Linked DNA regions of Canis lupus familiaris. The protein of the gene in region 1 purifies or fractionates together with the protein of each later gene. This does not show direct contact. Links are inferred from orthologs where the notes say so. Each region holds a gene or a part of one and is shown in the gene's direction. Other genes may lie near its edges.

Region 1 (4,286 bases):
CTGCCTGAATCCCTCCACCAGTGGACACCCAGCTCCTGCCCCTAATGATGCCCCTTATGAACAGATGCTGAACAATGTTTTTGAATGAATCAATGAGACAACCGAGAGTGGTCATAAGCATTAATATAAGAGCCACAAAGTGCGACACCCTCCATTTCTGGTGGGTGAAATTTGAGTTATGTTCTTTTTTTGCTTCTTGGTATTTTCTGATGTTTCTTGCTTTTGTAAAGGAAACTTCATTTTGAAAAAAAAAAGATACAAAGGGGCTTGGGGACTTCAAAAGAAGAGGGAATCGTTTCATCCTTTGGTGAGAAACAGGAAAGGAATGTTTGAGGAGCCTCATAGTTTCTACAACTGAAGAGGGTAGGGCCAGGCAGCCAGAGGGCACACACCACATGCCACAGCGAGGGCTAGGCCACGCAGAGTCAGAGTCGGGGAGCTGAGGAGGGCGGCGTGGTCCAGGTAGAGCGGTGCTGGGCACGGACACAAGACAAAGGACAGAATGCAAGATGGGCAGTTTCGCCTTGGGTCATTGAACACTGGGGAGTTACAGAAAGTTGTTGAGCTGAGGAGAGCCGAGCTCAGAACTCAGCATCCAGAGGTGTAGAGCTCAGCATCGGAGGCCAAGGGGCAAGAGGGAGGGTGCTGTGGAGTAGAGGCAAGAGCAGGAGCCGGAGCCCGGCTACAAACGCTCTCTCCCCTCCGGGCACGCACACCCCAAGGCCCCGGAGCTCTCCAGGACCACCCGACACTCCCAGCCCTGTTACTGTTGGGTAATCACATTTGAAAAATTACTCCTACAAGCCTCCAACCCCTCTTCCCACCTGGACTGCCAGCTTCTGATTCCTGCTCCCCCGCACGACGTGCGAGCAAGGGTGGGCTCCGCCAAGCAAGTTTGCAAGGAGCCGCCTCAGGGAGGGACAAGGCCAGGCGGCGTCCCTTCACGGGCAGCTCGGAGCACGGGGTCCCCATCCCGCGGCCAGCCTGCCTTGAGTGGGGGGACTGGACCCCAGTGACCCCGAGGGAGGGCTCCCAACGTGGGGGGCTCGGGCGGGAAGCCCAGAATCCGCAAGGCCCGCACCGAAGGGCGAGGCGCCCCAGAGCTCTTAGGTGAAGGCGGGGGGAGGGGAGCCCGGAGCGATCCCGGGGCGGCTGGGAGGAGGGGTCGGGCCGGCGGGGGGGGGGGGGGGGGGGGGGGGGGGGGGGGGGGGCGGGGGGGGGGGGGGGGGGCCGGGCGGGAGTCGGGAGCCCCGGAAGCCGGGCGGGAGCGGCCTGGGGGCCGGGGCGGGGCAGGTGGGGCCGGGCCGGGCCGGCCGGGGGCGGGGTCCGCGGCACATGCGCACCGCGGCGGGCGCGCGCAGCGAGGAGGGCACTTTTTAAAAGTGCAGCCCCGAGGCCCGCCCGCAGCCGCCGCCGCCGCCGCCTCGGCCCCGAGTGTGGTGCCGCTCGTCCCGGCCGCGCGTCCCGGTCCCACGCCAGCCCGGCCCAGCCAGCCCGCCCGCGCCATGCCGGTCAAAGGAGGCACCAAGTGCATCAAATACCTGCTCTTCGGCTTTAACTTCGTCTTCTGGGTGAGTGAGGGCGAGCGGCCGGCGCGCTCCTCGGCGCCACCTGTCCGTCGGGGACCTGGCCGCGCCGGGGGACGCCGAGCGGGGGACACGGGGCGCCGCGGCCGCAGCTGCGCCCTCCCCGGGGCCGGGCCGGGCGGGGCGGGGCGGGCGGGGGCGCGGGGCGGGGGGGGGCGCGGACCCCGTCTCGCTGAGGCTCTGCGCTGCGGCCCGCGGCTGCCCCTCGCCTCCCAGCCCCTCCGAGTGCAGGCGGGGGAAGGCGGCGGGAGAAGCGGAGCCCCTCGGGGGGCGGGGGGGCAGGACGGCTCGAGACCTGGTGGGGTCCCGCGAGGGGGCGATGCGGGCGCTGGCGGGGAGGGTTCAGCCCAGAGCTGATGGCACGTCTGCAGGACCGAGGCCTGGGACCCCGACCTGAGTGAGAGTCGGGGACCCCCTCGACGGTCGAGGAGGTGCTTGCAGGCCGGGTTCTGAGCCGCCGTGGGAAAGTCGGAACTCCCTCGAAACTACCTGAAAGACTAGCTTGTCTGGATTTTTTTTTTTTTTCCCCCAAAGGCGATAAGTATCTGAAGCGGAGAGAGCTCAGAGTTGGGGAGAGGCGAGGCAGCTGCCCGTTGGCGCTTTCAGTCCTGTGTTTCTCCATTTCCGGGGGAAGATCAGGTGCCCTCGGCCCCCTGGCAGCCCGGGCCCTCCCGCCTCGCGGACACCCCCAGGCCAGCCCACCCAGTGGCTAGGCGCGGCCTGGGAGAGTGGCGGTTCCCCCGGAGAGGAGGAGAGGACGCCAGGCCAGGCCGGGAGCTGCCCGACTCCCACTGCTGGCCGTGCTCACCCCTCTCTGCAAATGCAAAGTCTGATGGAGGCAGTGCCAAAGGGGATGCCCCCTCGGCGCCTTCTCTTGGGGGGATTAAGAGACCACCCTGAGACAGAAAGAAGCAAGGAACAGGGGACCTGTGTGTCCTGAGTCTGAGGGCCACATCCCCTGCACACAGATGGACAGTGTTTGTTCCTCTGCAGTCAGGGAGTTTGGAATGGCAGCCCAGCCCCTATGCCACCAGGGAGATGGCTCTAGAAACGGGCATGCCACCAGAGCCTTGTAACAAAAACTATACGGTACCTTGCTCCCCTGGCGCTGGTCACTGGGGTCCCCAGGAACCTCGGAGCAAACCTCTTGAGATTTTAATTCTCTCTCAGGAGCTGCCAGTAAGAGACTGACCTGCCCTTGCAAGAGTCACCATACACAACACATGTTCTAGTGAGGATGGCACATAGACGTGCCCCTGCCCAACACTTGGCCTGTTTTAAGGAACCCACCCACCCCTACCTTGCCTCAGCGGTGGGCATTCTTTCCTCCTGGTGTTCCCACAAGCAGCCAGCCAGCCAGCTCACTCCCAGGCTTGGCTTCCTCCCCTCACCAACCTCTGGCACCAGAAAAGAATGTGAGAAGGCGGATAAGCCCCACCCCACTCCTGTCCTTTGGGGAGTCTTCTTCCTCTCTCCTCCCCAGCACAATCTCACCCACCAGTCTGTTGCATCGTCCTCATCTATCTGCCTAGGCTGCATCAGGCTTTCAGGCAGGGAAGGAACCACAGACTCCCATAGGCCCTCATACCCAACCCTCCACCCCCATCTGCCCTGTGGCACAGGCAACAGTCTGTTGGGAAGTTCCAGGGCTCCTCTGGTGTCTGCTCAGTCTTTTATTGTCTCCAGCCTACCACCCCACCCATACTCAAAGCTACCCCTGCCTGGGCTAGGCGCTGCTGGTCAGCTATGTCATCTAAAACGGACATGACTGAATCTGGAAATGTTTGGGTCCAGAATTAGGAATGACTTTAGTGATCATCCAGTCCGCCCCTCGTATCCACAGTGAGGAAACGGAGAACCAAAGAGGGGCCCAGAATCACAGAGACCGAACCACACTTGAGTCCCGCCCTCTTCGGTCTACATCATGAAATCAACAAGGGGACCTGGTAATGGGCTGGTGTTGGGGAAGGAAGCTACGTTTTTCTGAAGTAACGATTGTTCAGTAGTCCTGTGTCAAGGTCCTTGTAGAAATGATAGAATAAAGGAGATAAGGATCCACTTGTGCAGCGTTTTACAGTCTGCAAAGGCCTTTTCCAAGTCCCATGATACAAGCCAGAGCTAGAAGCATTATCCCCATGGTACTGATGACCAGGAAACTAGTCGCCAGAGAGGTAAAGTGACTTATCCAGGGACATGTGGCAGGATAGCATCAGAAGTTTGAAGGGAGGTCTTACTAGCTTAAAGTCCAGTGTACTTCCCCTCCTAGCCTGCTGCCATGGTCAGCTGGGTAGAAACAAGCTCTCAAAAATATCTTTAAAGGGAACCTGGTTGGATTGTTATGATGGCACCAGTTACCTTTTTCTCCCAAGACCAGGAATTTATACACTTGGCATTTGGGATCTGATGTGGGCCTTGAAAAACAGGAGTTGTGAGGCCAGTGGCTCATGAACAAAGGATGCTGAGATGGGTGGCCTAGCAGGACCCAGAGAGAAGAAGCCTACCTCAGTGGTAGTGGGATGATCAGGATGGAAAGATGGTATACCTCTGCCCCAGCCCTGGCCTCAGCCCTATGGGACCCTGGGTGACAGCTAAACCTACCCTCTCTGGCCTCCCCAAGTAGGGCCTCTGATGCTCACAGCCAGACCAGCAACCAGTCTATTCATCCAACATCCCCACAACTCTAACTTCCTGGCTCTCCGT
Region 2 (3,648 bases), on another chromosome or scaffold:
GGTGTGAAATCTTTGATTTATGTCCTTTAAAAACTCATTCTTTAAATTGAAATGATGTTCTAAATAATCTGATCATTAGGTCTTTAACATATCATGTTGATTATAAAAAACGAAAGCACTGTTCCAGAACTCTGAAATTGTTGGTACAGAGGTGACTTACTACACGATTATTAAATATAAAGACAAGATGGAAAAACAGACTACACGGTTACTAAATATAAAGAGAAGATGGAAAAACAGACTTTTCTTCTAGTTTTACAGCTGTCTTCTGTTTATCCCCACTGGCTGTTAGGTCTTTTCAACCTACTAGTTCCTTCTTAAAAGAAACCTTTTTTTTTTTTTTTCCCCTACATGCAAAGGTAGGTGTAGCTGAACAGAAAGCTTAGACATTGCCAGTTTGTGCACTTGCTTCTCTTGCAATACTTACTTTGTTTCTACTTCTCTCTCCCCTCCGTCAGTGCGGATTCTTTAAACGCTCTAGGTACGATGATAGCGTTCCCCGATACCATGCTGTGAGGATCCGGAAGGAAGAGCGGGAGATCAAAGATGAAAAATACAATGATAACCTTGAAAAAAAACAGTGGATCACAAGTTGGAATGAAAATGAAAGCTACTCTTAAAAGGGGCCAAAAAAAAAAAAAAAAAAGCTTCACAGTACCCAACTGCTTTTCCCTCGCCAGCTCAGAAGTCTCAGTGGACCCAAGAGCCTGCTCTGTACCTGAATGTTCATTTCAGACAAGATGACGCACAGTACGAACTTAGCTTTCACTGTGGATCTTGTCCTGTAGCCCGAGGCTCCGGGTTTGCACAACCAAATTTAAGACTGTTGGAATGGAGTTTTCTTTACCTGCCTTAATTTGACTTTCTGGGGTTGCCTTTGTTCTCGGTGTAGCTGACCTCCCTGTGCGGGAAGGGCCTGCCCAGCGTAGCTGAAGTGAAGGAGGCACCCAGTCGCTGCCCGAGTGGTCCCCCCACCCCCCACCCAGGGCACGGTCTCCGCACCCATCCTTCCCGTAGGACTGGAGAGCCTGCAAGCTAACTGTCCCGCATCACCGGACACTGCCGTCGCCGTAGTTGTATTTCAGTTCGAAGTGCTATCTTAAGTTAAATGTGCAATAGGTGACGTTGCCATCCTGCCATCTTTCCCCATTTCCTAGATGTGTGAGTACTCATCACACCAGATAACATACAGGTTTCACTTCTCTGTTCACTGAAACACATAGGTGCAAAAGACTTGAATGCTAGTTATACTTACTTGTATATCGTATTTATTTTTTCTTTTTTACAAACCATTTTGTCACTGACAGGCCAAAGAGTCTCCCGTTTACCCTCCCAGTTGGATTAAACAATCAGAATTAGAACATGGGAGGTCATTGGTTTGAATTTAGTGCAAAAAAAAAAAAATAAAGCTAATCCTTTATAAGTTATTATATCTCCCTTCATGATAGCCGTCATCCCTTTCCTCCAGACCCAAACTTTGGGTTTAAGTGAAAGTCTATTAAGAAATAGGATTTAACCATAAGATGTTTAATTATATCAGACCGGATATTTCTGAGGGTAGAGCCCTGTGTGACCTCCTGCATTTTTGTGCTGTAACTTTCAAGAATGCTTGGAAACAATGGGTTTGTTGAACTTTGGTGCAGCGTAGGCCCTGCTGCAAATACTGTATCATCAGGACTTGAAAGAAAGGGTTGGTGCCTATGGTGGATCCAAACCGATCCAGTGTGAGACTACTGAGTATCTGATACCAAAGTCAGGACATCATGGCTTTTATGTTTTTAAATGTTATTGGAATCATTTAATCAGTGAGTCAATGTTGGGTTTTTTTTGCTTTGTTTCCTTCCTTATCTATATTCCCCAAAATTACTTTGGGACTGTGCTAACTGTATGGTTTTAATTATAAAAATGAAGTAGCAGAGGAGGAAAACATTTCTATACATTCAACAGAGATTGGGTAGGTAATCTGAATTTTAAAAAATGTTAAGTTATATGGGAAATAATAGCAAACAGGTGCTAATTTGGATCTAGTATAAGCAGCATCTCAAATCTTTCAGAAGAACAAAATACAACTGTATTTGTGTGTCACTGTTGCTTTGGAGCTTTTTTCTTTTCAGAAATCATATGCCCTTAAGATAGTAAGGACATTATTCTCCTTGAACTTTGGAATTTTCATTCACAAAGATATTTTTACAATTGATACTTTGTTTACAAAAATTTCTCCAAAACAGGTCATACTAGCCTTTGAAATCTTTGAAGCAAATCCTTTGAAGCAAATCCTTGCTTAGGTAACTTGTAACCAAATGCACTGGCTTTATAGGTTGCCAAGCAGCTGATATTTTGAAAGTGTCTATGGACCTTTGTTATAAAAAAAAAAAAAAAGAAAAAAGAATATCCTAAAAGGGAAGGAAGGGTGGTTCAACAACAAAGAATGTAGTGGTGTTTATTTTTAAAAGCGTCATCTCAAGTCAAGTCACTGGTCTGTTTGCATTTGATACATTTTAATACTAACTAGCACTGTAAAATTATTTCATGATTAGAAAATACCTGTGGATATTTGTATAAAAGTGTGAAATAAATTTTTTTATGAAAGTGTTTATTGCTTAGTAACACAAGCTCTCAAATTATAAATAACCTGAATTGCTTTCTTATTTCATGGAGCCAACCAAACTCAAGTTTTTTATATTTTTTATGTGATTGAAGGTTTTCTTTCTTCCTTTGGGCTCTACTGTTCAGTTGAGATCATAAAAAAAGAAAAATCTTACAAGATGGTTTTATTCAAGATACCTACAAATAATGATACCATGGTGTGAAGAGTAAGAGTTCTTATGGCAAAGTTGCTTTCTTCTTAGATGTTTTGGATGTGAGAGCAGTTCGGCTGTGCCATTACTCATCACCAAGGATTGCTTTGGCAGAGCTGACTGGCCTGAAAATATTTTCTTCATGAAAGCAATTTTATGAACCTTCTCGAGTTGGATTATCACAATCTAATAAATGAAAATAAGGCATCTATGTAGTGCTCAGATAATATAGCATGCCATGGCCTTGAATAAATTTCCAAGGCAAAAAATGCATTATCTGTCAAATAATAGTTTTCTACTGTACTTGGTATCACATAGTGAATTTTAGTCGTCTTCGTTCTTTGAAGACAAGACAGGTTTTACCACCCAAAGAAATCTGAGGGGTACTTTTAAATGACAGACCAGTGGCTATGAACCTTTATTCACAGTCCCATGGACCTACCCAGATTAATGATTGGTGTGGAATCGTCATTATAAGTGTCAGCAGCTGTGGTTTGGCTAGAGCATAAATGACCTGCGCTGGATATCATGGCACTGTTTTATAGGATTCTACTCCTTTCTCTTTAAAAAATCCTAGGAGTGACAGTAGTAGATAAACAGGAATACCCTTGGATCCACTGACAAACATTAACATTTTGTTGCTGGTTACGGGTCACTTGCCACAGTCTCACAATGGGTCATCCCCTTGGGGTTGAGGCTGTTCTGGAATATGGAACAGATGTAAGGGTAAGATCAAGTGTTCTACCCTAAATGAACACCACTTAATAAGAACTGATATCTGGTACACTAACTCATGAAAAGACAACGTGGGAAGATGGACTGGGATTTTGTTTTAAAGGAAGAAGAGTGA

Evidence for each region. The genes of interacting proteins can lie anywhere in the genome.
Region 2: the proteins of CD9 (region 1) and ITGA6 purify together in Homo sapiens (co-immunoprecipitation; 3 studies listed by BioGRID and IntAct, with this or other methods). This does not show direct contact. The link is inferred for Canis lupus familiaris from reciprocal best matches to the Homo sapiens genes CD9 and ITGA6.

Annotation. Positions count from the first base shown.
Region 1 is NC_049248.1:7,316,710-7,320,995, forward strand, and holds the start of CD9 (CD9 antigen), read left to right. Parts: upstream 1-1,406; 5' UTR 1,407-1,505; coding exon 1,506-1,571; intron 1,572-2,886; exon of another isoform or gene 2,887-2,993; intron 2,994-4,286. UniProt on the Homo sapiens protein: Integral membrane protein associated with integrins, which regulates different processes, such as sperm-egg fusion, platelet activation and aggregation, and cell adhesion.
Region 2 is NC_049257.1:17,166,610-17,170,257, forward strand, and holds part of ITGA6 (integrin alpha-6), read left to right. Parts: intron 1-427; exon of another isoform or gene 428-458; coding exon 459-620; 3' UTR 621-3,648. UniProt on the Homo sapiens protein: Integrin alpha-6/beta-1 (ITGA6:ITGB1) is a receptor for laminin on platelets. Integrin alpha-6/beta-1 (ITGA6:ITGB1) is present in oocytes and is involved in sperm-egg fusion.